4 linked regions of the Anolis sagrei genome follow. The protein of the gene in region 1 interacts with the protein of each later gene in a pairwise test. Links are inferred from orthologs where the notes say so. Each region holds a gene or a part of one and is shown in the gene's direction. Other genes may lie near its edges.

Region 1 (7,268 bases):
AACTGGATTTCTCAAAGACCCAAACACTGTAGATAACTCAAAATAAGTTTTATTGTTCACAAAGAGTTATCTCTTTAAGGCAATAAGCTGGAAGTTTCAAAGGGGGGGAAGGAAAATATACATTACAGTCTCTGGTTGTCTTGGGTCCAAGGTGTTTGCAGCTGAGAAGCTTTTCCAGGTCCCTCTTTCTCAATGGCTGTAAATGCCGGAGCAATCCACAACCTCAGTTTGAAGACTCAGGGTCTTCCTCTGGTGCCAAAAGAACTGGCTTGAAGGTGCTTGAGACTTCCCAATGTCGTTCAGGTTGGTCTGAACATGAAGCATAAGTCTCAAGGGTAAAAACCTCAGAATTGGTGCTGAGAGGTAATTTAATCAGGGGCTTTTAGAGCCAAGTCTCTTACTCATGTCCATCTCGTAGAAAATCTGAAGGTGGAATAAAAAAGGGAAGCACTCCCCTCCGCCAGGAAGAGGTGGAGCCAAACAACTGAGCTGAAAAAGCAATTCAACTGGTGCAAACAACACTGATTGACAAATATAAATAACCAATCAATCCAACTATACATAAGCAGGGTAAAAAAGCAGAATTAAGCATGATACAACAGTTTAAATCTTGCAACTAACAGTTCTACAGACATAGGTGGTGCCACTCGCGCCGTCACACAGTAGCCGGTGGAATGGCAGTTAAAGATGGCGGGAGGGCTCCTCGGCGGTTGCTAGAGAGTGCCTGGTTGGTAGTCTGTCTCCCTCCCATTCAGCGGCTGGTAGAATGGCAGTTAAAGATGGCGGGAGGGCCTCTCAGCAGCTGTTGGAAAGTACCTGGTTGATAGTCTGGCTCCCTTCCATTCAGCGACTGGTGGAATGGCAGTTAAAGATGGCAGGAAGGCTCCTCGGCAGTTGCTAGAGTGCCTGGTTGGTAGTCTGGCTCCCTCCCACCCAGCGGCCGGTGGAATGCCAGTTAAAGATGGTGGGAGGGCCTCTCAGCAGCTATTGGAAAGTACCTGGTTGGTAGCCTGGTTCCCTCGCACTCAGTAGCTGGTGGAATGGCAGTTAAAGATGGTGGAAGGGCCTCTCAGTGGCTATTGGAAAGCACCTGGTTGGTAGTCTGGCTCCCTTTCACTCAACGACTGGTGGAATGGCAGTTAAAGATGGCAGGAGGGCTCCTCGGCGGTTGCTAGAGTGCCTGGTTGGTAGTCTGGCTCCCTCCCACTCAGCAGCCGGTGGAATGGCAGTTAAAGATGGCGGAAGGGCTTCTCGGCAGCTGATAGAGAGTGCCTGGTTGGTAGTCTGGCTCCCTGTTGCAACTCAGAGTAGGCTTCACCTTGTTCCCAAATACTACCACACAAGAGCTGTAGATTTTGTAGTTTATTGAGGCAAAAACCCAAGTCAAAACATAGAGTAAGCAATACAGAGTTCCAAAGACAAAGGTTAAATGCAAAACACAATTCCAAAGGTCCTCAGGTAAGAACATAAAACATAATCCTTTAAGCAATGGTCAAACAAGAGTCCTTGGTAAAAACAGTGAAACACAAGTCCCAAGAATCACGATTCAGGAAGCCCAGAGCATGCTGCTTTAGAGCCAAGGTTATTCCATAGAAACCTTCGTGCTAAAAGCCACGATGAACTGACACATTCCCCTTGTTAACCAGAAGCCTAAATACCTTTTGCGAACAAGAAAACGTTACGCTCTCGCCAACATGAAAGCATTTCGATGACCTTTCATCGACCTAGCTTCTTTCTTGCTGGCTAGCCGCAAACTCCTCCTGACCCACCAATCTAAACATTCCTGCCTGCTCATTTAATCACTATCAAGGCTGCTCTCTTCTCTATCAGTATCAGCATGAGACGGCTGAGCAAGTGAAGGTCTCTGCCCCTGGTCGTTATCTAATTCGCTGGCATTCTTTTCCCATGAGAACTGACTTGTTGACTCCTCTGGTGAAGTGTCTGCAAGAGGTGCAGACAAAGGCATAGGAACAGGACCAAAAATCTGAATCCCATCATCCTCTTCATCAGGGAACATTTCAGGCTCACAAGAGGGTTCAGTTTCAGGCTCAGAATCAAGCTGAGCCACAACACTCCCTTCCACTCAGCGGCTGGAAGAATGGAGGTTAAAGATGGTGGGAGGGCTTCTCAGCAGCTGTTGGAAATTACTTGGTTGGTAGTTTGGCTTCCTCCCACTCAGCGGCCCGGTGGAATGGCAGTTAAAGATGGCGGGAGGGCCTCTCAGTGACTGTTGGAAAGTACCAGGTTGGTAGTCTGGTTCCCTCCCACTCAGCAGCTGCAATAAGAGAGTAAGAGAGTGAGTGAACATATAGATAGAGGTGTCAGGGGGGAAGGGATTCCCTCAGCCTAGCCTAAAGCAAGGACCAAGTCGCAACAGTCAGAACTGACCACAGAACAACAGACTGGTTCAAGATTGGGAAAGGCGTACGGCAAGGCTTCATACTCTCACCCAACCTTTTTAACTTGTATGCAGAACACTTCATGCGATGTGCGGGGCTTGATGAATGCAAAGCTGGGGTGAAAATTGCTGGAAGAAACATTAACAACCTCAGATATGCAGATGACACCACTCTGATGGCCGAAAGCGAGGAGGAGCTGAGGAGCCTTCTAATCAAGGTGAAAGAAGAAAGCGCAAAAGCCGGGTTGCAGCTAAACGTCAAAAAAACCAAGATTATGGCAACAAGAATGATTGACAACTGGAAAATAGAGGGAGAAAACGTGGAGGCCGTGACAGACTTTGTATTTCTAGGCGCAAAGATTACTGCAGATGCAGACTGTGGCCAGGAAATCAGAAGACGCTTACTTCTTGGGAGGAGAGCAATGTCCAGTCTCGATAAAATAGTAAAGAGTAGAGACATCAGACTGGCAACAAAGATCCGCCTAGTCAAAGCCATGGTATTCCCTGTAGTAACCTACGGATGTGAGAGCTGGACCTTAGGGCTGAGCGAAGGAAGATCGATGCTTTTGAACTGTGGTGTTGGAGGAAAGTGCTGAGAGTGCCTTGGACTGCGAGAAGATCCAACCAGTCCATCCTCCAGGAAATAAAGCCCGACTGCTCATTGGAGGGAAGGATACTAGAGACAAAGCTGAAGTACTTTGACCACATCATGAGGAGACAGCAAAGCCTGGAGAAGACAATTATGCTGGGGAAAGTGGAAGGCAAAAGGAAGAGGGGCCGAACAAGGGCAAGATGGATGGATGGCATCCTTGAAGTGACTGGATTGACCTTGAAGGAGCTGTGGGTGGTGGCGACTGACAGGGAGCTCTGGTGTGGGCTGGTCCATGAGGTCACGAAGAGTCGGAGACGACTGAACGAATGAACAACAAGTACAGCAGCATGATTTGCAAAGCATTCTGCAAACTAGGAGAGGACCTTCTTTTCTTCTTTGTAAAGAGGATTGAGACAATTATTCAACAAAATGCTCTATATGAGTTTCAATGGAGCAAAAATAGTGCAGCCCACTATTAAAAAATCCAGTACCATGACACAATATATAATTATAGTGCTATGATTCTACATTACAGCAGAAAATTGGAAATAGGCTTCTCTTTATATTCATGGGCTGTGCATTTGTTGAACTCCATCTGAACATGAGGATGAACTTCCTGACTGTGAGAGCCGTTCAGCAGTGGAACTCTCTGCCCCAGAGTGTGGTGGAGGCTCCTGCTTTGGAAGCTTTTAAACAGAGGCTGGATGGCCATCTGTCAGGGGTGCTTTGAATGCAATATTCCTGCTTCTTGGCAGAATGGGGTTGGACTGGATGGCCCATGATGTCTCTTCCAACTCTTTGATTCTATGATACTAAAAGTTAGGGTGTATCTATACTGTAGAATGACTGCACTTTGACACCCCTTGAACTGCCATGGCTCAATGCTATGAAATTATGGGAGCTGTAGTTTTATAAGGTCTTGAGCCTCTTCTGCCAAAAAGTAATTGTGCTTCATCAATCTGTAACTTAAAGGATTCCATAGTAATTGAGCCCTGGGAGTTAAAATTGTGTTGAATTGCATTCATTCTATAGTGTAGATGCACTTAATGGGCAACCTAAACAAGTTTCTACCGCTTTTTCGGATCCAATCCGCTGATTGGTCGATTTGAGGAAAAGGGGCGTGTCCTCATTCTTCGCGCGCCCTTTTGAAGCGGGGAGGAAAAAAAAACCCGTTCTAAACAACAAAGAGCTTGTCCCGTTATCTGATTGGCTGAGACACCGCGAGGGGGTGTGTCTAACATTCGTCCCGCCTATCTCGTGACGTCACCGTTCCATATCTTTCCGTTCTCTTCGGATCGGTGTGGTTTCTATTCTCTCCGTTGGAGCTTGGGACGCGAGAGTTTGGCGCATGCGCAGTTCGACGTCGGTGGGTTGCTGCTAGTGACTGTTGATGGAGGGTTCGGAACGGTGGATTCATGTAAAAAGAAAAGGGGGGGGGGCGGAGCGAACCAATGAGAAGGAGGAAAAGGGGGGAAGCGGAACGAACCAATTTATAAGGGAAAAGGGGGGCTCTAAAGAGTAAAAGAAAGGATTTAGAAAGCAGCTTGTGCTAAAGAAACCCAACTGACTTGTGAAATGCAAAAGAAGAAAGAGGATCATGTTAGGACTGGCTTCTTAAGCATTAAAATTGCTTGTTAGACATATATCTTTGAATCATAGCCTGCAGCTAATGTTAACCAATACTTTTTAATCATTTTGTGCATGAAACAATTGGTAAGTAACACAAAAATTAATAGCTCTAGAGCACAGATAAAGTCTTCCTTATCCAAAATATTTTGCATTTTTTTTCCTTCCAGATTTTGGAATACTTTGATTTCCATAGTGATATTAACTTGGAGAGGAGAACTAAACCTCATCATGAAATTCAGATATAGATATATATATGCCTTATATACATATACAATATTGTATAAAATGATCTCTAGGATATTGGATGTGAAATAAAAGAATGCTCAACCTGTAAAATGGAATGCAAATATAGTAGACTCTCAATTAACCAGAATTTCAGATAGCAGAACTCTCAAGCAACCAGCAAAACTTTTAAAACAACATTGCATAGTGCAGTCACATAGCTGTTTTTATAATAACGCAATATATTAAGATTTTATTTGTCCTGATTTGCTTTTAACTATTGCATTTCAATATTAATATCAAGTAAATTTAAAGTGTATGGTATGGTATAGTATGGTATAACGGCGCTCCATGCAGTCATGCCGGCCACATGACCTTGGAGGTGTCTACGGACAACGCTGGCTCCTCGGCTTAGAAATGGAGATGAGCACCACACCCCAGAGTCAGACATGACTGGACTTAATGTCAGGGGACTACCTTTACCTTTACCTTTATGGTATAGTACGGGGTATAGTATTAGTTAGTCCTATTTTTAATAGGCACTCCCAAGCAACCAGAATCTACCAACCCCCATGAGTGCCAGACACCTGAGAGATCCATATTTTGGCCCTTTCTACAATGCCATATAAAATGCAGTTTATCTGCTTTGAACTGGATTATATGGCAGTGTAGACCAGGCATGGGTGAACTTCGGCCCTCCAGGTGTTTTGGACTTCAACTCCCACAAATTCCTAACAGCCGGTAGGCTGTTAGGAATTGTGGGAGTTGAAGTCCAAAACACCTGGAGGGCCAAAGTTTGCCCATGCCTGGTCTACACTGCCATATAATCCAGTTCAAAACCAATAATGTAGATTATATGACAGTGTAGAAGGGGCCTTGGTGCTATTTTATAGTCTGCTTTCAGTAGAAATTGTTCATAGAATTGTGCTGGAGGATCTCAAGATTTCTAGGGAGCAATATTATTATTATTATTCTCTTTTTGGTGGTGGGTCCTGTAATTGTAACTTCTGTGAATGTATTTCTGAAGGATTATGATTCGGAGCCATGGATAGAAGGAAAGATTCAGACAAACAGCTGGAGCCTCCTGCTGCGTTCGGAGTGCCAAGATCCACTGGTAAAAAAAGGAGCGCATTTGAGATCGCTTCTTTGTGTGTTAATATTGATTTTGTTATTTGGGAAGTTGGGAGTATGAGTGTCCTGTGCTTGTCAGTGTCACATATGGAATCTACACTATAGTATTCATGAATTTCAGTGCTGTGGAATCTTTGGAAGAGATGCTTATATAATGCCATATAATCCAGATTATCAAAGCAGATAATCTGGATTTTATATAGCAGTGTAGAAGGTGCCTACAATTCCGAGGATTCCGTAGCAGTGGGTCCGGTAGTTAGTTGTGTCAAACTCATTATTTCTACAGTGTATTTACGACATTTACCCCAAAGGGGACTCAGAGCGGTTTACAAGATATATATACATACAATATATATTATTAGCATAATACGATATCAGTATTAAATATTACTATATTGTACTATAACATTGTATTGTAATAATATTAGTAATATTACATGTAATATACATATATAATTATAGTATTACATTATATTGCATTACATTATAATATTATAAATATATGTATATACACTATATTATATTATATTTATTATATTTTATTATTAGAATAGCACAGGAGACAAGGTGGAACTGTCTTCTGCCCCCCTTTCTAATTTAAGTCCCCACAGGGAGAAAGGCAGGATATACTAATACAGTATTTATTTATTTATTTCGGGTACTTTTACCCCGCCCTTCTCAACCCCCGAGGGGGGACTCAGGGTGGCTTACAAAAGGCACAATTCGATGCCTGTACAAAAATTATACATAGTGTACAAAACCATAGTTAAAACAATTATCACAGTTAAAACAATCATAACAATCAATATACAATATACAGTAGTTAGGCCTAGTTCTAATAGTAACTCTCAAGCAACCAGAAACTATGTTTATCCAGCATCTACTAATCCCCATGGGTGCTGGTTCATTGAAAGTATACTACAGTAAATATTTTTTACCATTGACCAAATTCTGCAAGAATGTGGATTGAACGGACAGAATCTGTCATAGTATGAACCCCTAGAATACTGATCTGTTGTATCCCTAAGTTCCCTCCAATATAAAATCCAATTGTCTGAATTTTCAGTACTTATATGTCCATCTCTGCCTTTGGTGTTCATCTGTTTTTTATGTAGAGCCCAGAGGGCTGATCCCACCATCCCATTTCCAAAGCCGGTCAGCCCCTCCTTTGCCAGGGCCTGTGGGGCTGCCTTGGTGTGCCACCTCGCAGTCTAATTGGGAGGCAGCCGAACTCAAATGGGAAAACCAACGGCTGAAGGATGAACTCCAGAGATGGAGCAAAAAAGGAGAGAAGCT
Region 2 (7,805 bases), on another chromosome or scaffold:
TTGGAGGGAAGGATACTAGAGACAAAATTGAAGTACTTTGGTCACATCATGAGGAGACAGGAAAGCCTAGAGAAGACAATTATGCTGGGGAAAGTGGAAGGCAAAAGGAAGAGGGGCCGACCAAGGGCAAGATGGATGGATGGCATCCTTGAAGTGACTGGAATGACCTTGAGGGAGCTGGGGGTGGTAACGGCTGACAGGGAGCTCCGGCGTGGGCTGGTCCATGAGGTCACAAAGAGTCGGAGACGACTGAACGAATGAACAACAACAACCACATCTGTATGCCCATAGAATCCTGGGATTTGTAGTTTGGTGAGGCACCAACTCTATTTGGCAGAGCATGCAAAAAAAGCAACCAGAAAACTACAACTCCCATGATTCCATAGCATTGAGCCATGGCAGTTGAAGTTTCCTGCTCCTTGGTTTTGGGTTGGACTGGATGGCCTACGAAATCTCTTCCAATTCTATGATTCTAATAGGGCCGCATCACACTAGAGAAAAAATCCACATATAATCCGGTTTCTGCCTGCTGCAAAATTCTGGGCTTTGTAGTTTAGGGAAGGGCCTTTAACAGCCTCACTAAACTACAAACCCCGGAATTCTGCAGGAGGCAGAAACTGGATTTAAAGTGGATTTTTTTCTCAAGTGTGATGTGATGTTAAACTGCATTAATTGCACAGTGTAGGTGCATCCATAGTCTCCTTTTCCTATTGCCACGCATTATGTCCTGTCTAAGAATTCATATCTTCTCGTGCTATCCCCCAAAGCATAACTGTCTTCATGGCTTCTAGGGAGTGTTCAGGTTTGATCAACTCTAGGTTCTTTTGTTTTTGTTTTTGGCAGTTATTGATATCTGCAGAACTCTCCTCTTTCATTCACCATTATTTCAAGTGATATTACTATCTTCACAATCGTACATAGAAACATGTAATACAATGATGTGGACAATCCTGAGTTTGATATTCAGTTATATATCTTTACATTTGAGGCACCAAAATAGAAACTGTGTTTGGCCCATCCTGCTTGGGCACTCTATTTTGAATGGATTTGGTAACAGGACAGTATTTATTTATTTACAGTATTTATATCCCACTCTTCTCACCCTGAAGGGAACTTAGAGCAGCTTACAGAACACACACATGGCAAGCATTAAATGCTGATTATACAACTAACAAGGGCAGACAACACAACAGAGGAAAAGGCAGTTTTTCCCCATCTTATTTCCAGCAACCTGGAGGGTGTGCTCGACTCTGGCCATGGAGGGTGCTGTCACTCCATCTTCCATGCCGAGGAGCTACCTCCCAATGATGTCTTTAAGGGGTTTTTATTATGTCCCCACTAAAAACGGTACCTATTTATCTACTCGCATTTCTGCTTTCAATCTGCTAGGTGGGCAGGTGAGCTGGGGCTGACGGTGGGTGCTCAACCCTGCCCCGGGATCAAACTGCTGACCTTTTGATCAGCGGGATGTTTCCGCAGCACAGTGGTTTTGTCTGCTGTGCTAAGCCCAGTTTGTCTTCTGTCTCAGTTGGCAAAATGTCTTGGGCAGTTCAGTCTATCAATAACAGCTTAATTTGATTTATTTATTATTATTTATTTCCAATATTTCTATTGCACTTTTCTCAACCTCCGAGGGGGGACTCTGGGTGGCTTACAAACCGGCCACAATTCGAAGCCTCAGTACAATACAAATATAAGCACAAATAGCAACAGTTTAAAATAGTAAATAAAACATTAAGATAAAACATGTTAAAAACATTGTAATCAACCATATAGCCAAGTTCAGTCCGGTTCAACATCCAAGGTGCTGTCATGCTTGCTTTCTAAAGGCCTGGTCTCAGAGCCATGACTTAACCTTCTTCCTAAAAAGAAAGGAGGGAAGAAGCCAACCTGATCTTGCTGGGGAGCGAGTTCCACAGGCATAGGGCCACCGCCGAGAAGGCCTTGTCCCTTTGCAAGGCTGGCGGGACCGAGAGCAGGGCCTCCCCGGATGATCTTAAGCTATGAGGCGGGATGTAAAGGGAGATACATTCGGACAAGTAAGCTGGGCCAGAACCGTATAGGGCTTTATAGGCCAAGACCAGCACTCTGAATTGTGCTCGGAAGTGGACAGGCAGCCAGTGAAGCTGGCACAACAGTGGAGTGGTGTGCTCCCTGGATTTATATCTTTGGTATTTTCTCACCTTATACATCTTTGACTGTGATTAGATAACCCTTACATTAGTACAGGCAGGAAATAAAAATTTAGAGAAACGTATCTGAGGACTGTTTTTTCACTTCTCAGAATTAGGAATAAATATCCTGAACAAGAAATGGAAATTGCCACTTATGTACGTTACACAGTATGGTGATTCAGTCCTTTGCTATGAATTGTATTTTGAAAGACGTGGGGTGGAGCCTCCTGTAAAGTCATCCAGGGGCAATAGCCTGCTTGTAGAGAGGATTAAGCATTCTTTGTGGGCGTGTGGCCAGTTTAACCCATGAAATCGTTCTCAGTGAAACTGTCCTGGTTTATCTGAAACAGGAAAGTCCTGTTGTGACACCTAAATGTGTGTTAATTGGCTCACCTAGATTAGATCTACACTGCCCTATATCCAAAGATCTGACCCCAAGCCCCTTCTGCACTGCTGTATAAAATCCAGATTATCTGCTTTGAACTGGATCATCTTTGAATTGGACTCATATAATCCAGTTCAAAACAGATATTGTGGGATTTTCTGCCTTGATATTCTGGGTTACATAGCTGTGTGGAAGGGCCCCTAGACTCAAGGGTGTTTTAAATATATTAACAAACCTTTTTTTCTGTTGGTGGTAATAAAACTAGTGTGTGTCTTACAATTATCAGTGTCTTAGAATGCGAAAAATGCTGGTATGATCTTTTATTTCTCAGCTGAGGACAACCGGAAAAGATTTGTTCAGGCTCAGCACATTTTATTTTTGAGAAAAGCTAACTAAAGCTAATATGTCGCTGAACATGATCCAGATGGTCAGTGAATCACTGGTTATACATTTTCATTAAGCTGCTTGTAGATCTGAAGTCTCGTGTCTTACTATCGGTTTAAGAATGAAACAATAAAGTTGTACAGGTTAAGTATCCCTTATCTGGTGTTGCTATAAGAAAGTCTTATAGCAGGGGTCCTCAAACTGTTGGGAGGCCGAATTATAATTTGGGAAAAAAACATGAATGAATTCTTATGCACACTGCATATATCTTATTTGTAGTGCAAAAAACACTTTAAAACAATACAATAAAATGAAGAACAATTTTAACAAATATAAACTTATTAGTATTTCAATGGGAAGGAGCCCCCGGTGGCGCAGTGGGTTAAGCCCCTGTGCCGGCAGGATTAAAGACCGACAGGTCGCAGGTTCGAATCTAGGGAGAGGCGGATGAGCTCCCTCTATCAGCTCCAGCTCCCTTGTGGGGATATGAGAGAAGCCTTCCACAAGAATGATAAAAACATCAAATCATCCAGGGGTCCCCTGGGCAACGTCCTTGCAGACGGCCAATTCTCTCACACCAGAAGCGACTTGCTCCTGACACGACAAAAAAAAAATTGGCTGATGAGATAGGATTGTTGTTGTTGTTGTGTGCTTTCAAGTCATTTCAGACTTAGGTTGACTCTGAGCGAGGGCTGGGTAATTGACCTTGGAGGGATGTATCTGGCCCCCGGGCCTTAGTTTGAAGACTCCTGTCTTATAGCAAAACCAGAGGCACTCCAAGTGGCCAGTTACTGGTCAAAGGACATTTAATATAATGCCAAGCTTTTAAACATTGTGTTTTCTCAAATACATCACAACTATACCCTTGGTTTGCCCCTGATACGATAAATAATAAAATCTTGTATCTGACATATCAATACAGGCATTCCAATTCCAAATTAAAATAAAACAAAATTCAAAACATGTATCATCCAAAGCATTTAGAGTGACTTATATAGAATGGCAAATTCAAATGTCTTTGGAATTATTATTAGCCACAGGAGTATTATAGACCCTAAGGGCCTTTCCACACAGCCATATAACCCCGAATATCAAGGCAGAAAATCCCGCAATACCTGCTTCAATCTGAATCCATACTGCCATATATCCAGGTTCAAAGCAGAAAATGTGGGATTTTATTCAGCTGTGTGGAAGGGGACAAAGAATACTTTTTAAAACTCTTTTTATTAAACAGTAAAACAGTGTTACATTAAGTCACATTTGTATTTTGAATTATAGTATTAATCAAGTCCAGACATGAGTTTGTAGCATGGAGTATAGTATTAGGGCCCTTCCACACAGCCCTATATCCTAGAATATCAAGGTAGGATATCCCACATTATCTGGGTGTGGACTCAGATAACCCAGTTCAAAGCAGATATTGTGGGGTTTTCTGCCTTGATATTCTGGGTTATAGGGCTGTGTGGAAGGGCCCAGGGCCCTTCCACACAGCCCTATAACCCAGAATATCAAGGCAGAAAACCCCACAATATCTGCTTTGAACTGGGTTATTTGAGTCCACACTGCCCTATATTCCAGTTCAAAGCAGAGAATGTGGGATTTGGTCCAGTTGTGTGGAAGAGCCCTGTATCACTTCTTCAGTGTAGTTGAAGGCAAAGGGCTTCCCCAGGAGGGGGCAACCTCACCCTAGGCGCCGCCTTGCCTTCCGCCTCCCGCCCGAGTGAGTCATTTCCTAGAAGGATGACGTCAGGGGCGGTGCGCGAGAAGAGAGGGGAGGCTGCCTGGCGCTGATTGGACAGGGTGGCGAGTGGGCGGGGCCGCAGCAGCCTATATATTCGGCGGCCCTCCTCACGTTCCCAGCACAGAGACTTCCGGATTCGGTCGCTTTGTTTTCCTTCCTAAGCCCACGTTACGGGATGCTGTCCGCCTGACTACCCGTGTCTCGCCGCCGCTGCGCCCAGGACGCGAATGAAGAAACTGCTCCTCCTGCTCTTCAACTATCGGGGACTCAATCGAGGCGGGGGACGCAAAGGGAAACGCCGTCGGAAATGGACTCGTTCGTTATCCGCGCCGCGCGGCCTGAGGACTGCGCCGACATCCTGCGCCTCATAAAGGTATCTGGCCTTCTCGCCTGGCCCGGAAGGGAGCGGAAGGCCTACACCAGTGTAGGTCAGCGGTTCGTAACCTGAGAATTCCCAGGTGTTTTGGCCTACAACTCCCAGAAATCCCAGCCTGCTTACCAGCTGTTAGGATTTCTGGGAGTTGAAGGCCAAAACATCTGGGGACCCACAGGTGGAGAACCACTGATGTAGACAGACAGACAGGAACTAATCAATAAAGACAGATGTAATAATAATAATAATAAACCTTTATTTATACCCCGTTCATATCTCCCGAAGGACTCGGTGCGGCTTACAAGAGGCCGGGGCCCAATACATAAATAAAACAACAGCATAACAAATACAACAATAATTAAAACTCATAAAACAAGCAATAAACATTAAAACAATGAGAATAAACATTAGACAAGAATCCACCCAACATAATAAAGTTAAACCCCAAGTATACCCATTTAGCCTCTTTTTTATTTTTGATACATACATATATATATATATATATATATATATATATATATATGGGGCATTGGTAAACTTTGGCCCTCCAGGTGTTTTGGACTTCAACTCCCACAATTCCTAACAGCCAGCAGGCTGTTAGGAATTGTGGGAGTTGAAGTCCAAAACACCTGGAGGGCCAAAGTTTACCCGTTCCTGATATATACACAGAAAAAGGGGTGCTTGCTTTTTGGTGACTACAAGACCTGAAACTTGTCACGAAGACTTACAAAAACCCAAATCCCATCCATTCTCAGCTATGATGATACAGGTTTTTTTTTTCTAAATATGTGGCCAGAAAGTAAAGTCAAAGTTTGAGCTGGAGTCCAAGGTTATCTCCTCCCAATCATGAGTGCTGACATGGCTGATTTGCCTTTTCCCCCCCTTTAATCTGCTAACTCCAGATGCCTTGTGACCCACATCTAAGGAAACTGCTTTTGAAAAACAACAAAAAGGGAAGGGCTTTGTTCTCCTTTTACTTCCCTCACCTCAATAGTTGCTTTAAGGAAGTATTGGTATCAGCTAGAGAGGGTGGTTCTCTTCCTCATTCTTCATTTGAATGTCTAGTTGCTTGGAAGTGAGCCCCATTAGACCCAGAGAAACTTGGACCCCATCTATACTTGCATTTAATGCCGTTCCAAACTGGTATTGGAAGCGCAGATGGCTGAATAGAAAATGCTGGAACCAGTTTGAGGCCTGGATGGGTGATTACACAAATCACAGAGTGTTAAAGAGTATTAAGGACTTTCTTTAGCATACTTTTTTCTTATCTCCTTTTTCTCTCTTTTTTTGGTGTGTCCATGACTTTTATTAGGGGCCCCTGGTGTTGTAGCGGGTTAAACCATTGAGCTGCTCAACGAAAGGTTGGTGGTTCGAATTTGGGGAGTGGGATGAGCTCCTGCTATTAACCCCAGCTTTTTCCAGACTAGCATTTCGAAAACATGCAAAAGTGAGAAGTGGTATCAATAGATACCACTTCTACAGGAAGCTCCATGCAGTCATGCTGGCCGCATGACCTTGGAGATGTCCACGGACAATGCCGGCTCCAAAATGGAGATGAGCACAACCCTGCAGAGTCAAACACGACTAGACTTAATGTCAGGGGAAACTTTTACCTTTAATATAGCTTTTTTTAATATTAAAAAATAAAAACAATATTATTCGCACTCACAAGGAAAGTAAAGGTGGGGTTAGAGGTGGTGGAGCTCTGGTTCGTAGATTAGAATTCTATAATTATCTGCTATATCACTGAAGAAAAGGAACAGGATTGATGGGGGAAAGAGTTTGTTATAGTTATTGCATCTATATCTTCCACACAAGTGCTATTTGCACACATTTGTGGGAGTTCTATACCAGGCTGGCTGCTTTACAGTGAACTTTGAACTGCATCAAATGGTCTGTGTAGATGGCATCAGTGATATCACTTACAGGTCAATGTTTCTGTAAGCTCTGGAGTCACATAACCCATCTGCTGGTAAAGTAGGCCCTTGATCTCTCCTGTAATGGTGTTCCTTGAATAAAATGGCTAGATCAAGCTATCCTTTTTGGATTCTTTTTTAAAAATACATTTTCAATCTGTGGGTGATTGAATCTGTGGATATGGAAGGCCAGCTGTACTGAAAATGCCTTGCTTGCAGAATGCTGAGTGCAAAGGTACACGTGTACAAATGGAGAACTGTTTGTTCCATAAACAGCTTTTCTTGTTGGGCCCAGATACTTTGGCCTCCTCTGCGTTGACAAAATAACCCCTCCCTGCTCTTGTGAAAGAGGCTGTACTGCCTCCACCCTCTTTGCAAAGCTAAACGTCATGGAAAATTAGTCAACAGTTCCTGTCGAGTCAACAGTTCGTGTCCTTGAACTGTGTTGAACGACAAGATGGCCTACTTGTAAAAGATTAGATCTCACCTTTGGCAGACTTCTTCTAAATATGGCTCAAACAGATTCAGGATCAGGGGAGATAGACTTTCATACAGGGAACATTTCATAATGTGAACTTGAGTCTAGGTTTGTTTAACTTAATTCGTTGGGTGATTTTTTCCCCCCTTCACATTACAAGCAGCTCAAGTTATTGGAAAAATAATAATTTTATTTCATATCCTCTTCTCAGCACTGCTCAAGATGGGTCACAGCATAGTTAAAAACAAACAAATACTATAAAGATTCTACAAACACACATTAAAATTCAGTTCCATAGAAGACACAGATCAAAGCATTTCTGTAAAATACACATTAATCACACAGAACAGAGAC
Region 3 (7,733 bases), on another chromosome or scaffold:
TCAGCAAAGAATATGTCCAAAGGGTCAGAAAGGTTTTGAAGAGCAAATTAAATGGCAGAAATACGATCAAGGCTCTCAACCCCTGGGCCATCCCCGTCATTAGATACACTGCTGGGATTGTGAACTGGACACAAGCAGAGCTGGATGATCTGGACAGAAAAACAAGGAAACTGATGACAGCCCACTACTCATTACACCCGCGTAGAGATGTCATCGACAGACTTGACCTGCCCAGAAAATCAGGAGGCAAAGAGAGGGCTTCTGTAAGTGAAACAAAAGGTAGAAGAAGAGAAACACACACTGGCAGATTATGTGAAAGGCAGTCAAGAACAACAGTGAGGGAAGTCAATAGAATCATAGAATCATAGAATCAAAGAGTTGGAAGAGACCTCATGGGCCATCCAGTCCAACCCCCTGCCAAGAAGCAGGAATATTGCATTCAAATCACCCCTGACCAATGGCCATCCAGCCTCTGCTTAAAAGCTTCCAAAGAAGGAGCCTCCACCACACTCCAGGGCAGAGAGTTCCACTGCTGAACGGCTCTCACAGTCAGGAAGTTCTTCCTCATGTTCAGATGGAATCTCCTCTCTTGTAGTTTGAAGCCATTATTCCACGTCCTAGTCTCCAAGGAAGCAGAAAACAAGCTTGCTCCTTCCTCCCTGTGGCTTCCTCTCACATATTTATACATGGCTATCATATCTCCTCTCAGCCTTCTCTTCTTCAGGCTAAACATGCCCAGTTCCCTAAGCTGCTCCTCATAGGGCTTGTTCTCCAGACCCTTGATCATTTTAGTCGCCCTCCTCTGGACACATTCCAGCTTGTCAATATCTCTCTTGAATTGTGGTGCCCAGAATTGGACACAATATTCCAGATGTGGTCTAACCAAAGCAGAATAGAGGGGTAGCATGACTTCCCTAGATCTAGACACTATGCTCCTATTGATGCAGGCCAAAATCCCATTGGCTTTTTTTGCCGCCACATCACATTGTTGGCTCATGTTTAACTTGTTGTCCACGAGGACTCCAAGATCTTTTTCACACGTACTGCTCTCGAGCCAGGCGTCACCCATTCTGTATCTTTGCATTTCATTTTTTCTGCCAAAGTGGAATATCTTACATTTGTCACTGTTGAACTTCATTTTGTTAGTTTTGGCCCATCTCTCTAATCTGTCAAGATCATTTTGAATTCTGCTCCTGTCCTCTGGACTATTGGCTATGCCTCCCAATTTGGTGTCATCTGCAAACTTGATGATCATGCCTTCTAGCCCTTCATCTAAGTCATTAATAAAGATGTTGAACAGGACCGGGCCCAGGACGGAACCCTGCGGCACTCCACTTGTCACTTCTTTCCAAGATGAAGAGGAAGCATTAGTGAGCACTCTCTGTGTTCGTCCACTTAACCAATTACAGATCCACCTCACCGTAGTTTTGCCTAGCCCACATTGGACTAGTGTGTAGTCAACTGCTTCAAGTGCCAAAGACAAAGAGTGAAAACACAATCCAAAGCAGAAGAGAAAACTGGCAAAAGAAGGCTCTCCATGGACAGGTTCAAGCAAAAATGGAGAGCCAAATTGACAAAGAAAAACATGGCTGTGGCTCACAAATGGAACTCTGAAAAAGGAGACGACGGAGGGCCTGATTCTGGCAGCCCAAGAACAAGCCATTTGAACCAACGCCACCAAAGCCAGAATTGAAAAGCTGACAACAGATCCCAAGTGTAGACTCTGCAAGGAAGCAGATGAAACAACAGATCACAACCTCAGCTGCTGCAAGAAGATTGCGCAGACAGACTACAAGCAGAGGCACAACACCGTTGCTCAGATGATTAATTGGAACTTGTGCCACAAAAACCATCTGCCTGCAACAAACTGGTGGGATCACAAGCCGGAAAAGGTTACAGAGAATGAACACACCAAACTCCTCTGGGACTTCTGGATTCAGACAGACAAAGTTTTGGAGCGTAATACTCTTGACCTCAATCGTGTTAAAAAAAAAGTATGGATTGTCGATGTCGCAATCCCAGGTGACAGCAGGATTGCAGAGAAACAACTGGAAATGCTGGCACAATATGAGGATTTAAAAATCGAACTGCAAAGACTCTGGCACAAGCCAGTCAAGGTGGTCTCAGTGGTGATCGGCACACTGGGTGCAGTGACTAAAGACCTTGGCCTGCATTTAAACAAAATAGGCACTGACAAAATTACCATCTGCCAGCTGCAGAAGGCCACCCTACTGGGATCTGCACGCATTATTCGCAGATACATCACACACTCCTAGACAGTTGGGAAGTGTCTGACGTGTGATCCAATGCAACAGCCAACAGAGTGTCTGCTGTGGACCCATCTTGTTGTGTTTCCAATAATAATAATAACAACAACTGAAACAGCCTTGGTCGTCTTAGTGGATGATCTGTATAGGGAACTGGACAAGGGGAGTGTGTCCCTGTTGGTTCTCCTGGACCTCTCAGCGGCCTTCGATACCGTAGACCACGGTATCCTGGAACGCCTGTTGGGAATGGGGCTTGGATGCATTGTTCTGCAGTGGCTCTGGTCCTTCCTGGAAGGTCATTCTCAGAAGGTGTTACTGACACCTGCTCAGCCCCACAGCCATTGTCTTGTGGGGTCCCACAGGGCTCAGTATTGTCCCCATGTTGTTTAACATCTACATGAAGCCACTGGGAGAGATGCCATCTGTATGCAGATGACGTCCAACTATATCACTCTTTTCCACCTGCTACTAAGGAGGCTGTTCAGGTCCTGAACCAGTGCTTGGCAGCTGTGATGATCTGAATGAGAGCAAACAAACTGAAACTGAATCCAGACAAGACAGAGGTGCTCCTGGTCAGTCACAAGGCCAAACAGGGTATAGGGTTATGGCCTGTGTTGGACAGGGTCACACTTCCCCTGAAAACGCAGATTCGCAGTTTGGGAGTTCTCCTGGATTCCTTGATAGTAATATAATATAATAATAATAATAATAATAATAATAATATAGAATTGGAGGAGGCCCCAGGCAGAAAGACACAAGCCATGCCCTCCTGGAAGCTCTGAAATATAACAACAACAACAATAATAATATAATGATAAAATTAGAATTATAATTATAGACAGGAAGATATCATCCAAGCCCTCCCAACAAATGGTTATCTAGTCTCTGCATAATATAATAATAATAATAATAATAATAATCACCATAATTTTATTATGATTATTATTATTATTAGTTTCCTTTTCTAATGGTGGAGATTGATCTTGCCATAACAAATGCAAGGAAATACAATGTGCTTTCCCCCTATAGGGCAGGTTGATTAACAATAATAACAATAACAATAATAATAACAGTGTTCATGCCCTTTCCCCATATTAGCAGCTATGCATTGCACCATAAACCTATACATAAACCTTTTTCTCACCTTTAAGCGGCTAGATGCAGACTCTTTCCCTTTGCAAACCGAGCCGGAAGTGGGTAGGAGGGAGGGCATTCCTTTGGCCCCGCCCTTCCGGCGCAAGGCCTTCTGGGATTTGTAGTTTCCCTGCCAAAAACCTAAGCCTCTTGCCCAAATCAAGTCAATTTTTTTTAAAAGGGAAATATTACTTTAATAATACTTTATTAATATATTATATTATTAATCAATTTCATTATATTGTTTTAGATACGTTTTGATTATACTATATTAGATATATCTATATCTATACACATAATAAAAGTGAAAATCTGTATATGTGATTTATGGGAGTTATAGTTCACCTGCATCCATACAAACTGTGACCCCCACCGTGAATGGACCGGGACCACATTTGGCACAGAGAAGCCATCTGAACATTTTGGAGACGTTTGGGGGAAATTGACCTTGATTTTGGGAATTGTAGTTCACCTGCATCCAGTCATACTGCGACCCCCACCGATAATGGACCAGGACCACACTTGGCACAGAGAAACCCCATGACCACGTGGACATACTGGAGAAGTTTGGGGGGAAATTGACCTTGATTTATGGGAGTTATAGTTCACCTACATCCATACAAACTGTGACCCCCACTGACAATGGACGGGAGACCAAACTTCACACAGAGAAGCCCCATGACCAACTGAACATACTACAGGGTTTTGTGGAAATTGACCTTGATTTTGAGAATTGTAGTTCGCTCTTATCCAGAAAACACTGAATCCAGCCAATGTCGGATCCAGACCAAACTTTGCAGTGCGTACAGGTGGGGTTTGGCGGCGATTGACCCACGATTCTGGGAGTTTTCGTTTGCCCTTATCCAGAGAGCACTGAACGCAGCCGACGTCAGATCTGGGCCAAACCTGGCACACAAGCCCAACATGGCTAACTTTGAATACTGGTGGGGCTTGGGGTAATTGGCCCACGATTTTGGGAACTGCAGTTCACCCACACCCTTATGCATTTTCTAATGGGAGCATTCATAAAAAAACAACAGGAAAGACTGGCTTTTTTCTAATAAATAATGTTACTAATTAACTAAATGATATGACCTAACATCCCAAAACAACCAATGCCCTTTTCAAATCACCCGGGCACTGCCGGGACCCCAAGCTAGTAATAAATATAATATAGTAATAATAAATACATAAGTAAATACTTCCACCCCAGTTTCTTTAGGGTTAAAGCACTGGTCCGGATATAGCTGGCTTCCTTCCTCTCTGGAAAAACAGGAAGGCCTTTTCTTTATTATTATTTTTATGGGAATGAACAGGAACCAAAGGGCTGGGCTTTGGCTTATTTTGATGCTGATGCTGCCTTTGGAGCCACTTTTTGGACAGAATGGAGCAGGTAAGGGCCACATTCTCTCAGCCTCTGAGCAGTATAGTCCCTATAATATTATTGTATTATTATTATTATATAATAGGGGCTGTGTTGGCGCAGCAGGTTAAACCACTAAGCTGCAGAACTTGCTGACTAGAAGGTTGGCAGTTCAAATCTGCGGGATGCGGTGAGCTCCCGTCGTTAGCCCCAGCTCCTGCCAACCTAGCAGTTCGAAACCATGCAAATGTGAGTAGAACAATAGGTACTGCTCCAGCAGGAAGGTAATGGCACTCCATGCAGTCATGCCAGCCACATGACCGTGGAGGCGTCTGAGGACAATGCCAGCTCTTTGGCTTTGAAATGGAGATGAGCACCACACCCTAGAGTCGGACATGACAAGACTTAATGTCAAGTGAAAACCTTTACTTTTTTATTTTTATATAATAGGACCGTTGCTTGGATGCAGCTCTTGCCCAGGTCAAGCACACACCTTGGATCCATAGTAGCCACACTTGAGGCCTTTGCCTGCCATTGATTCAACTCATTTTGTTTCCCGAAACGCAGGAAGGATCCAGGCCTGGAGGTGACAAAGGATCCCCCGAAAAGGCTTTGCCACCAGATGAGCGAGAAGCCCTTCGCTGCGAGGAGCACATCACGGCACTGCTAGTGACGGTGTCCCGCCTTCACGGACACATCCAATGCCTCCAGCGGGAGAAAGACAGGTAACTGGTCGCTGTCACCTTGTCTGTTCGAAGCAATTGTGGTGTTGCAGTGAGCAGCCTTGCAGTTGCAGAGTCAATCAGTGAGGGTATCTGCATAGAGATAGCCTGGCCTCTGTTGCCTGGAAACACCCTCTGCTGGGGAGCTGTCCAGTGTGTGCTTGATGTCTGGAGTTTCCCTATTTTAAAGCTAGTGTGAATGTTGCAATTAGCAACCTTGAATTAGCGTTGAGGAAACTTGCAGCTGCAAAGTCAATCAGTGAGGGTGTCTGCATAGAGGCAGTGAAGCAAGTGGAGTGTGTGTATATCCCTGTGGAATAATGTCCAGGTTAGGAAAAAGAATCCTTGTCTCTTTGAAGCAAGTGTGGATGTTGCAAGTAGCAAGATTGAACAGCACTGAGTAGCCTTGCAGTTGCAAAGTCAATCAGTGAGGGTGTCTGCACAGAGGCAGTGAAGCAAGTGGAGTGTGTGCATATCCCTATAGAATAATGTCCAGGGTGGGAAAAAGAACCTTTGTCTCTTTGAAGCAAGTGTGGATGTTGCAAGTAGCAAGCTTGAATAGCATTGAGTAGCCTTGAAGTTACAAAGTCAATCAGTGAGGGTATCTGAATAGAGGTAGTGAAGCAAGTGGAATGTGTGTGTGTGTATGTATGTGTATGTATATGTATGTATGTATGTATGTGTATATATATATATATAGCCCCCTGTGGAATGATATCCAGGGAGGGAGAAAGAACCTTCTCTGTTTCAAGCTAGTGTGACTGTTCCAATTAGCATTGATAGTAGCCTTGCAGCTGCAAAGTCAATCAGTGAGGGTCTCTGCCTAGAGGGTGCCTCCAGGCATCAAAGACCAGGCTACCTCACCCTGACCCAGGCTTGAACTACCAATCTTTTGATCAGCAAGATTTTTTGCAGCTGGTGGTTTAACCCGCTGTGCTAAAACCTGGCCCTAACTTGGATGTTATCCTGTTTTTGAAGATTTAGTCGGGTATGTTCTAGATCAGTGTTTCTCAACCTGGGGGTCGGGACCCCTGGAGGGATCGCGAGGGGGTGTCAGAGGGGTCACCAAAGACCATCCTGAAAACACAGTATTTTCTGTTGGACATTGAGGTTCTGTGTGGGAAGTTTGGCCCAATTCAATTGTTGGTAGGGTTCAGAATGCTCTTTGATTGTAGGTTAACTATAAATCCCAGCAACTACAACTCCCAAATGCCATGGTCTGTTTCCCCCAAACTCATCAGTGTTCACATTTGGGCATATTGAGAATTCATGCAAATGGTGCCGAGAGCCCCCGTCCAGTAACTGGTCTATACTGCAGCGGAGAGTTCCGCAGTTCCTGGAAGCCGAAATTGAAAAAAAACTGATGAAATGTGCCCCAACAAACAGCTCAAGGCCAGGACTGCTTTCAGCTTTCATCATTTTCCCTCTAGCCCTGACTTTGTATCTAATCTCTAATAAGGGTACTTGAGTTATAGTTCCCCAAGGACCGAGCGATGGATCTTGTTATTTATCAACTCAGCGCCCATCTGCTAACTTCTACCAGAAGAAAATGACTCTCTGCTGCTTGCTTTGAACTGCAAGCCACCTCCGTTTCCACGAGCCTCCCTCAGAAACCTGGGACTTCAAGTTTTCAAATAAAAAATCAATTATTTTATTAAATAATTAAGATGTGGGGTGGAAATGGGGTTTTTCTTACATGAACTTTGTATAAATAATATTGCATGAAATATCGTCTGCCTTCCCGCCTTTCCCCTTGACTTTTGCCCTAAAAGAAGTGACCAAGGACCGTTGCAATGCCTGAGGGAGGACCCCTGCCTCCCTCGAAACTCATTTTGATTATCTCACATCAGCATGGACAATAGCATATTTGGGATTTCCTTTCTCGCTCTCTGAGTCGGTCTGGCGAGACGAGGAAGTCTATATGGACATTATGATTGATTTACAAAGGGCAGGGTCGACCCCCCTGAGGTCCCCTGCCCCGGTCCTGTTTGTTTCCCCACCAAAACCCATCAAGGACAGGAAAGCCTTTCTTGTGGAAATCACACCTAGCCGGCTCAGGACAAAAGCCTCACATTCCAGCTGGCCGGCTATCAGTAATCCCATCATTTCCCCCATTGTCCGCGGTCGGCCCGCCTCCTCTTTTCTGATTCGTCCATCCTCAGAAGCGAGAGAAGCACGCCGATTGGCCCTCCAGAGGCGGAGAAGCTTGCTGATTGGCCCAGGGCAGGGCGGGCCGCCAAGCCTCCT
Region 4 (7,381 bases), on another chromosome or scaffold:
CTGTTTCTTTTCTTCCTCGGACCTTTTAATGATTGAGAAATTCTCAGCATACAACATTCCTCACACATGCTGTAATCCTCTTTCCTTAAGCCAAAACGTGCCCTGGTCTTTCAGCAACAAAGATTTGCCTTCTGGGTCCTTTTATATCCTCACAAGTCAGGGAAAACCTTGTATAGGTTAAGCATCTCTTATCCGAAATGCTTGGGATTAGAGGTGTTTTGATTTGGGGGAACAGGATTTGAAATAACAATATTTACATATATTGTGCATAATAAGATATCTTGAAGATGAGGCCAGGTCTAAACACGCAATTCATTTATGTTTCACATACATCTTATAGACATAGCCTGAAGGTAATTTATACTCAACATGATGTTGGGCTTGAATAAAGTTGTGTACATTGAACCATCAGAAAGCTAAGGTTTCACTATCTCATCCACTCATGTGGAAAGCTTTGGATTTCAGAATATTTGAGCATTCCAGATAAAGGATGCTTAATCTCTAAAATCAGGGTAGAAACCTCTAAAATCTTATTTCAGAGCGAGAGTTATGTTCAACTATTGTACAAAAACACACCTGGGGCTGGACACCTGAGTTCAGATTTAGGGTGGTGGCGATTTGCCTTCAAATGGCCTATGACTTATGGTAACCCTATGAATGGGAGACCTCCAATATCCCCAGTGAGCAACAGCCCTGCTCAGATCTTGCAACCTCAGGCTCCATCTACACTGCTGTATGATGCAGTTTGAAACGGCATTTTAGATGGGGCCTGTTGACCATGGCTTCTTAAAATGAAGCAATTCACTTGCAGGCCTGTTTATATATTTTGCAGAATCAGTATCCCCAGTCAGCAACTGCCCAGCTCAGATCTTGCAATCTCAGTTTGAAACTGCAATTTAGATGGGGCCTTTTGACCATGGCTTCTTAAAATGAAGCAATTCACTTACAGGTCTGTTTATATATTTTGCAGAATCAATACATTTGATTTTGTTTCTCTAGTCATAACAGTGTTACAGCATAAGTGGCTTTGAAATCCAAAACTGAGTATGTTCAGAGAATGTTTATGTATCTATTGAGCCTGTAATTATTTATCTGAGAGTTGGCAAACAGTTTTATTCTTTGCTTTGATATATTTCTGTATCTAGCAATTGAGGTAATTAATGTACTTGTCCAAATCAAGGCGAGAGATGTGTGGGTGTGCATGTGTGTGTGTAAGACTATTAAGTGCAGAGCTTAAAATAGTGCATCTCGCACGATTTCCCTTGCACTGCAGCAAGAATGTCTATTTCTCTGTTTTAGAGAGAATCCCACCATTGGCAAAAACTCCAGTGGTTTCTTTAAAAGCTTTTGGTAAGGATAAGAGGGGAGAGCTGCCTTATTATAAAGAAGATATAATTTATTGTTTGACTTATTTTTTATTATTATTGATTGCTTGTAAAATGGAGTCAGACAGCCAGAAACCTAAGATTTAGAATGTTTGCTGATAAAGATTAGTAAGACAAATACAGTAGATTCTCTCAAGCAATTGGCAAAAAAATTGAAAAATTTTTTCAAAATTAAAATACATATATAATACAGTAAAACCGTGTTACATTATGTTTTACTTTCAATATTAATATCAAGTCAATACAAAATGTATAGTATGAGCTCCTGGTGGTGCAGCGGGTTAAATTACTGAGCTGCTGAACTTGCTGACTGAAAGGTTGGTGGTTCAAATCTGCAGAGCGGGGTGAACTCCACCTGTTAGCCCCAGCTTCTGCCAACCTAGCAGTTTGAAAACATGCAAATGTGGGTACATCAATGGGTACCGCTTCTGCGGGAAGGTAACAGCATTCCAAGTGGTCATGCCGGCCACATGACCTTGAAGGTGTCTATAGACAATGTCAGCTCTTCAGCTTAGAAATGGAGATGAGCACCACGCCTTAGAGTCAGACACAACTAGATTTACTGCCAAGGGGAAACATTTACCTTTACCTTTATGAGTTTGGCTTGTTTTGAATAGTAACTCGAGAGACCAAAAACTACATTTATCTGGTATCTACCTGGTTAACTGAGAATCTTGACCCATGTTAAACAAAGTTGTGGGTTGCTCTGAATTCTGCCTAGGATCCGGAGTGAGAGCTTTAACTTGACACCTCTGAACTTACATCTTGCTAGGCCTGCCTAGTTAAGAAAACACAGCAGAGATTCCCAACCCCAAAGAGCCCTTTGCTTTGAGATTGGCCAGTTCCTTAGGCTGGTCAACACAGGGTGCTGTTTGTGCTTATTGAAGCAACAGGAAACTGAGCAAAGTCCATGTCTTTTGACCAAGAGAAAGAAGTTTTGATTTCTAACTGGACAGACAGGTCATGTGCTGATGCTAACTGCTAGATATAAGGTGGACTATAAAATAATTGTTCTACAAGACCCCACTGTCCTTCTTTTACAAGATAGCTAGGCACCCACATGCCGCAGCAGCGCAGTGAGTTAAACTGCTAGCTGCAGGAAATCTGCTGACTGGAAGGTTGGCAGCAAAGCCTTAACAAAGCCTTAAGTTGGGGTGAGCTCCCGACTGCAGCCCTAGCTTCTGCCAACCTAGCAGTACAAAAGCATGCAATGTGAATAGATCAATAGGTACCGCCTTGGTGGGACGGTAAAAAGGCATCCCATGCAGATATGCAGACATCTTCTCCAAACTTTCCTGTCTTCTCATTATGTGGCCAAAGTATTTCATCTTTGCCTGTAATATCCTTCTTTCCAGTGAGCAGCCAGGCATTATTTCCTTGAGTATGGTCTGGTTTGATCATCCAGCGGTCCAAGGCAGTCTCAGAATTTTCCTCCAAGATTCCATTTTTCTTACTGGCTGTTAGGAATTGAGGGAGTTGAAGTCCAAAATACCCGGGAGGCCGAAGTTTGCCCATGCCTGTTTTATACAGTGCTTTCTAACTTTTACTCCAAGATATTCTGGACTTCAACCCCCAGAAGCCCCAGTCAGTCTGGCTGATAGTAGGAAACTCTGAGAGCTGAAGTCCTAACTACAGGGAGGAGCAAAACTGAAAAATAATATGAAATGTTTTAAGGTACCACCAGATTTGGTATATCCTCCTCCCCTGGGTGCATCCACATTGTACAATCAATGCAGTTTGAAATCTCTGTAACTCAGGCATGGGTAAAATTTGACCCCCCAGGTATTTTCTGTGTTGTAATGTAAAATAAAATAATATAAAGGAGTCCCGTTGGCGCAGTGGTTTAAAGCACTGAGCTGCTGAACTTGTTGACTGAAAGGTCGCAGGTTCGAATCTGGGGAGCGGCGTGAGCTCCCACTGTCAGCCCCAGCTTCTGCCACAATAGCCGTTTGAAAACATGCAAATGTGAGTAGATCAATAGGTACCGCTCCGGCGGAAGGTAAGGGCGCTCTATGCAGTCATGCTGGCCACATGACCTTGGAGGTGGCTACGGACAACGCCAGCTCTTTGGCTTAGAAATGGAGATGAACAACAAACCCCAGAGTCGGACACGACTGGACTTAATGTCAGGGGAAAGCCTTTACCTTTACCTTTACTAATGTAAAATAAATCACGTGTAGTTCACGTTTGATCAACCCACCCATTGCCTTGCCAGAGTTAGAAAATATGCCACGCAGGTGACCAATAAAGAACAAGTAGTTTACTCTTCTTAGTTCAGAACGACATATGTACAATGTGATCAGTTGTACTAACTCGCATAATTTCCTTTTATGGGAGGTTTAAAATAGTATTTCTATGTCCATTTGGATAAGCTCCTTTAGCAGCTCATGAAGTACACTCCAAACTTTCTGCTTCTCTTCAAGCCTGAACAAAAATGCAACAGTAACCAAAAGTCCCAGGCTCAGCCATCTCCCAGGGCATTGCCTGGCCACACACATTCATGCATCTTATTTTATTTGATGCACATACACACTCTCACTGATTCTTTGCATGCTCCTAACAGGCTGTTAGGAATGGTGGGAGCTGAACTCCAAAACACCTGGAGGGCCAAAGTTTGCCCATGCCTGCTGTAACTGCTATCGTTCAGTGCTATGGAACCATGGGAGATGTAATTTCACAAGGTCTGGACTAGCCCTCTCTGCCAAACTGCAACTCCCACGGTCTTATCCCATTGAGCCCTGGCAGTTAATGGGGTGTCAAACGGTATTAATGCTGCAGGAGAGGAGGGGGGGGGGGAAGAGTATGGCTGCAACAGGTGAAGAAGGAGGGGAGAGCCGGCCAAGCAGCTGGCGCGTCTGCCAGGCCCTTTGTTGAAAGGTCTCCTAGCAACGCTGCGGCCAATGGGGGCGCGGAGTCTCGGGGCGCGGAGGGGGGATTGGAAGGCGGGCGCTGCTGGGATCGGCGGTGCCGCGGGGCGCGCGCGTGCGTGAGTGTGCGCGCGCGTAGGAGGGAGGGAAGCAGGCAAGCAGAGAGGCAGCGGAGCTTTGGGCAGCAGAGGTTGGGGCGCCCCTCCTTTCCTCCCGCAGCAGGTGGGAGGCTGGGTGCCCTGTCCCCTCCCCCACCCGGCTTCCCAGGAGCAGGTCTGGACTTGATCTTGGCTATTCTGGGGCAAAAAGGGGAAAAGGGGAGGAGGAAGCACGTGGGAAATGGGAGGCATTGGCATGCGAGTCAGTGGGTGGTTGGGAGGGGGGCAAAGGAGGAGGAGGTGGACACTTCTGTAGAAGAGGGGGCATTGCATGGGGGTGAGATACCAGACAGTCAGGTGCGTTCTCACGTACACAGTCTGGGTCAGGAGTGTGCTGGTGTGTCTACACTGTAGAATGAATGCACTTTAGCTGTCAATGGCTTCATGCTATGGAAGCCTGGGAGGTGCACTTTGGTGAGGCACCTGCACTCTTTGGGCCCTTCCACACAGCCCTATATCCCAGAATATCAAAGCAAAAAATTCCACATTATCTGCTTTAAACTGGGTTATCTGAGTCCACATTCAGATAATGTGGGATTTCCAGCCTTGATATTCTGGGATATAGGACTGTGTGGAAGGGCCCTGCGTGCACACTCAGATAATGTGGGATTTCTGCTTTGATATTCTGGGATATAGGGCTGAGTGGAGGGCCCCTTAGGCGGGGAAATTTCACTACCTTGTAATTCCCCCCTCAGTCCCAAGGAGGACCCTGCATTGTAGAATCCATGCAGTTTGACAAAAGCAGCACTTCACACAAAACATAATGCATGGTTATGAAAGCTGAATATTTAGGAAGCGGTAAACAAAGAGGTGCATCTACACCAGGCACAGGCAGACTTTGGCCCTCCAGGTGTTTTGGACTTCAACTCCCACAATTCCTAACAGCCTACCTGGAGGGCCAAAGTCTGCCCATGTCTGATCTACACTGTAGAATTAATGCAGTTCGACACTACTGTGATTGCTCAACAGTGTGGAATCCTGGGAGTTGTAGTTAAGTGAGACACCAGCACTCCCATGATTCCATAGAAGTGAGCCATGGCAGTTCAATAGGGTGTCAAACTACACCCTATTGAACTGCCATGGATCACTTCTATGGAATCACGGGAGATGTAGTTCCACAAGATCCCTCTCCTTCTCTACCAAAATGTGTCGGTGTCTCACCCAACTACAACTCGCAGGATTCTATGCTGTTGAGCAATCAAAGTGGTGTCAAACAGCATTCATTCTACAGTGAAGATCAGACTTGGGCAAACTTCGGCCTTCCAGCTACTTCATCACACTAGAGAATGAATCCACTTTAAATCTATTTTCTGCCTCCTGTAGAATTCTGGGGTTTGTAGTTTAGGGAGGAGCCTTTAACAGCCTCACTAAACTACAAACCCCAAAATTCTGCAGCAGGCAGAAACCGGATTTAAAATGGATTCATTCTCTAGTGTGATGAAGTAGCCAGGTGAAGTAGCCACAAGTTGAGAACCACTGTGGTAGGCTGTTAGGAATTGTGGGTGTTGAAGTCCAAACACCTGGAGGGCCGAAGTTTGTCTATGCCTGGTGTAGATGCACCTCTGTGTTTGCTGACAGTGTGAGAGATCTTCCAAGGTGCATCTACATGCTATAGAATGAATGCAGCTTGACACCACTTTTATTGCTCAACAGTATGAGATCCTGCGAGTTGTAATTTGGCAAGGCAACAGCACTCTTTGGCAGAGAAGGCCAAAGACTTTGCAAAGCGCTGACTCCTGTGACTCTATTGCACAGAGCCCTGGCAGTTCAAGTGGTGTCAAACTGGATTGATGCTCCAGTGTCGATGCACCCCAAGTCACCTGGCTCAAGTCTTGCAAAACTTCTTGATCTTCCTTGTGCTGCATCTGCACACTGTAGAACGCACGCAGTGTGACACCACTTGAACTTCCATGTCTCAGTGCTATAGAATACTGGGAATTGGAGTTTGATACAAAGCACTTTTCAGCAGTGAAAGGCCTTGTAAACTACAATTCCCAGGTTTTGATAGTATTGAGCCATTGTAGTTGAAGTGGTGTCAAACTTCATTAAATGTAGAGTGCAGATATACCCTTGGTTTCCCAAAATCTTCATCTTTATCATCTTTTTGTTAATTGCTGTCAAGTCTGACTTACAGCAAACTTAAACCTATGCATTGTTTTGTTAACTGCCGTCACATAGACATATGAATGAGTGACCTCTAGGTTTTGCAAATTGCAGACTCCCTTGACGTTTCTTGCTTCCCCTGATTTTCAACTTTTGTAACAATCCATATGTTTATATTGAGGGGCAGAATGTGAAAGAGCTTCTCAAAAGGGAGGTTATAAATGCTAGAGAGGGTGGCAGGCATGGGAAGGATTGCAGGCCATTGATTGGGAGGTGAAAAAGGCATTCTAAAAACAGAGCTGTCTGCAAGCGTTAGGAACCTGCTGGTTGGTGGAGTGTGAAAAGGCACCGGGCGGACAGCAGTCTAGGCAATGTGCGGAAATAAAGCCCTGTGTTGCTTGCACATTTTACTTGCAGTCTGTTGCATTTATGAGTGTATATATAGTCAGCCCTCTATATCCATGGATTTTGTATCCACAGATTCAACTGTCCATGCCTTGTAAATATTCAGAAAATAATCCAGAAAGCAAAACTTTGATTTTGTGATTTAATTTAGAGCAGTGGTTCTTCACCTGTGGTCCGTGGACCACCAGTGGTCCACAAGAATTAAAATATGGTCCGCGGCTTTACTGTTACTACACCGTTGCAACAAGAGCGACTGGTCTTGCAAAACCCTCATATAGTGCTGAGCATTAACAAAATCCATGGATAATAACACAGCCCAACCAAAAACAATTTTTTTCTTCTTGTTTTCGTTTTTAGGTCAGTTCCTGGAGTTATTGGGGTGTTGATTCAGAAAATTGCATTGAATAGACCACATCCATTCTAGATTATTAAATACGGTTTTCTGTGGGTGAGCAGATGGTGA

The links.
Region 2: the proteins of CCHCR1 (region 1) and SAT1 interact in binary tests that used the Homo sapiens proteins (3 or more experiments, as listed by UniProt). The link is inferred for Anolis sagrei from reciprocal best matches to the Homo sapiens genes CCHCR1 and SAT1.
Region 3: the proteins of CCHCR1 (region 1) and USHBP1 interact in binary tests that used the Homo sapiens proteins (3 or more experiments, as listed by UniProt). The link is inferred for Anolis sagrei from reciprocal best matches to the Homo sapiens genes CCHCR1 and USHBP1.
Region 4: the proteins of CCHCR1 (region 1) and SSX2IP interact in binary tests that used the Homo sapiens proteins (3 or more experiments, as listed by UniProt). The link is inferred for Anolis sagrei from reciprocal best matches to the Homo sapiens genes CCHCR1 and SSX2IP.

What each region holds. Positions count from the first base shown.
Region 1 is NC_090022.1:21,399,080-21,406,347, reverse strand, and holds the start of CCHCR1 (coiled-coil alpha-helical rod protein 1), read left to right. Parts: upstream 1-4,264; 5' UTR 4,265-4,356; exon of another isoform or gene 4,357-4,397; intron 4,398-4,461; exon of another isoform or gene 4,462-4,703; intron 4,704-5,868; 5' UTR 5,869-5,885; coding exon 5,886-5,955; intron 5,956-7,087; coding exon 7,088-7,268. UniProt on the Homo sapiens protein: May be a regulator of keratinocyte proliferation or differentiation.
Region 2 is NC_090023.1:86,790,843-86,798,647, reverse strand, and holds the start of SAT1 (diamine acetyltransferase 1), read left to right. Parts: upstream 1-4,804; 5' UTR 4,805-4,991; coding exon 4,992-5,057; intron 5,058-7,805. UniProt on the Homo sapiens protein: Enzyme which catalyzes the acetylation of polyamines. Substrate specificity: norspermidine = spermidine >> spermine > N(1)-acetylspermine. This highly regulated enzyme allows a fine attenuation of the intracellular concentration of polyamines.
Region 3 is NC_090034.1:29,449,689-29,457,421, reverse strand, and holds the start of USHBP1 (harmonin-binding protein USHBP1), read left to right. Parts: upstream 1-4,715; 5' UTR 4,716-4,785; coding exon 4,786-4,794; intron 4,795-5,331; coding exon 5,332-5,489; intron 5,490-7,733.
Region 4 is NC_090024.1:154,979,255-154,986,635, forward strand, and holds the start of SSX2IP (afadin- and alpha-actinin-binding protein), read left to right. Parts: upstream 1-4,360; 5' UTR 4,361-4,525; intron 4,526-7,381. UniProt on the Homo sapiens protein: Belongs to an adhesion system, which plays a role in the organization of homotypic, interneuronal and heterotypic cell-cell adherens junctions (AJs).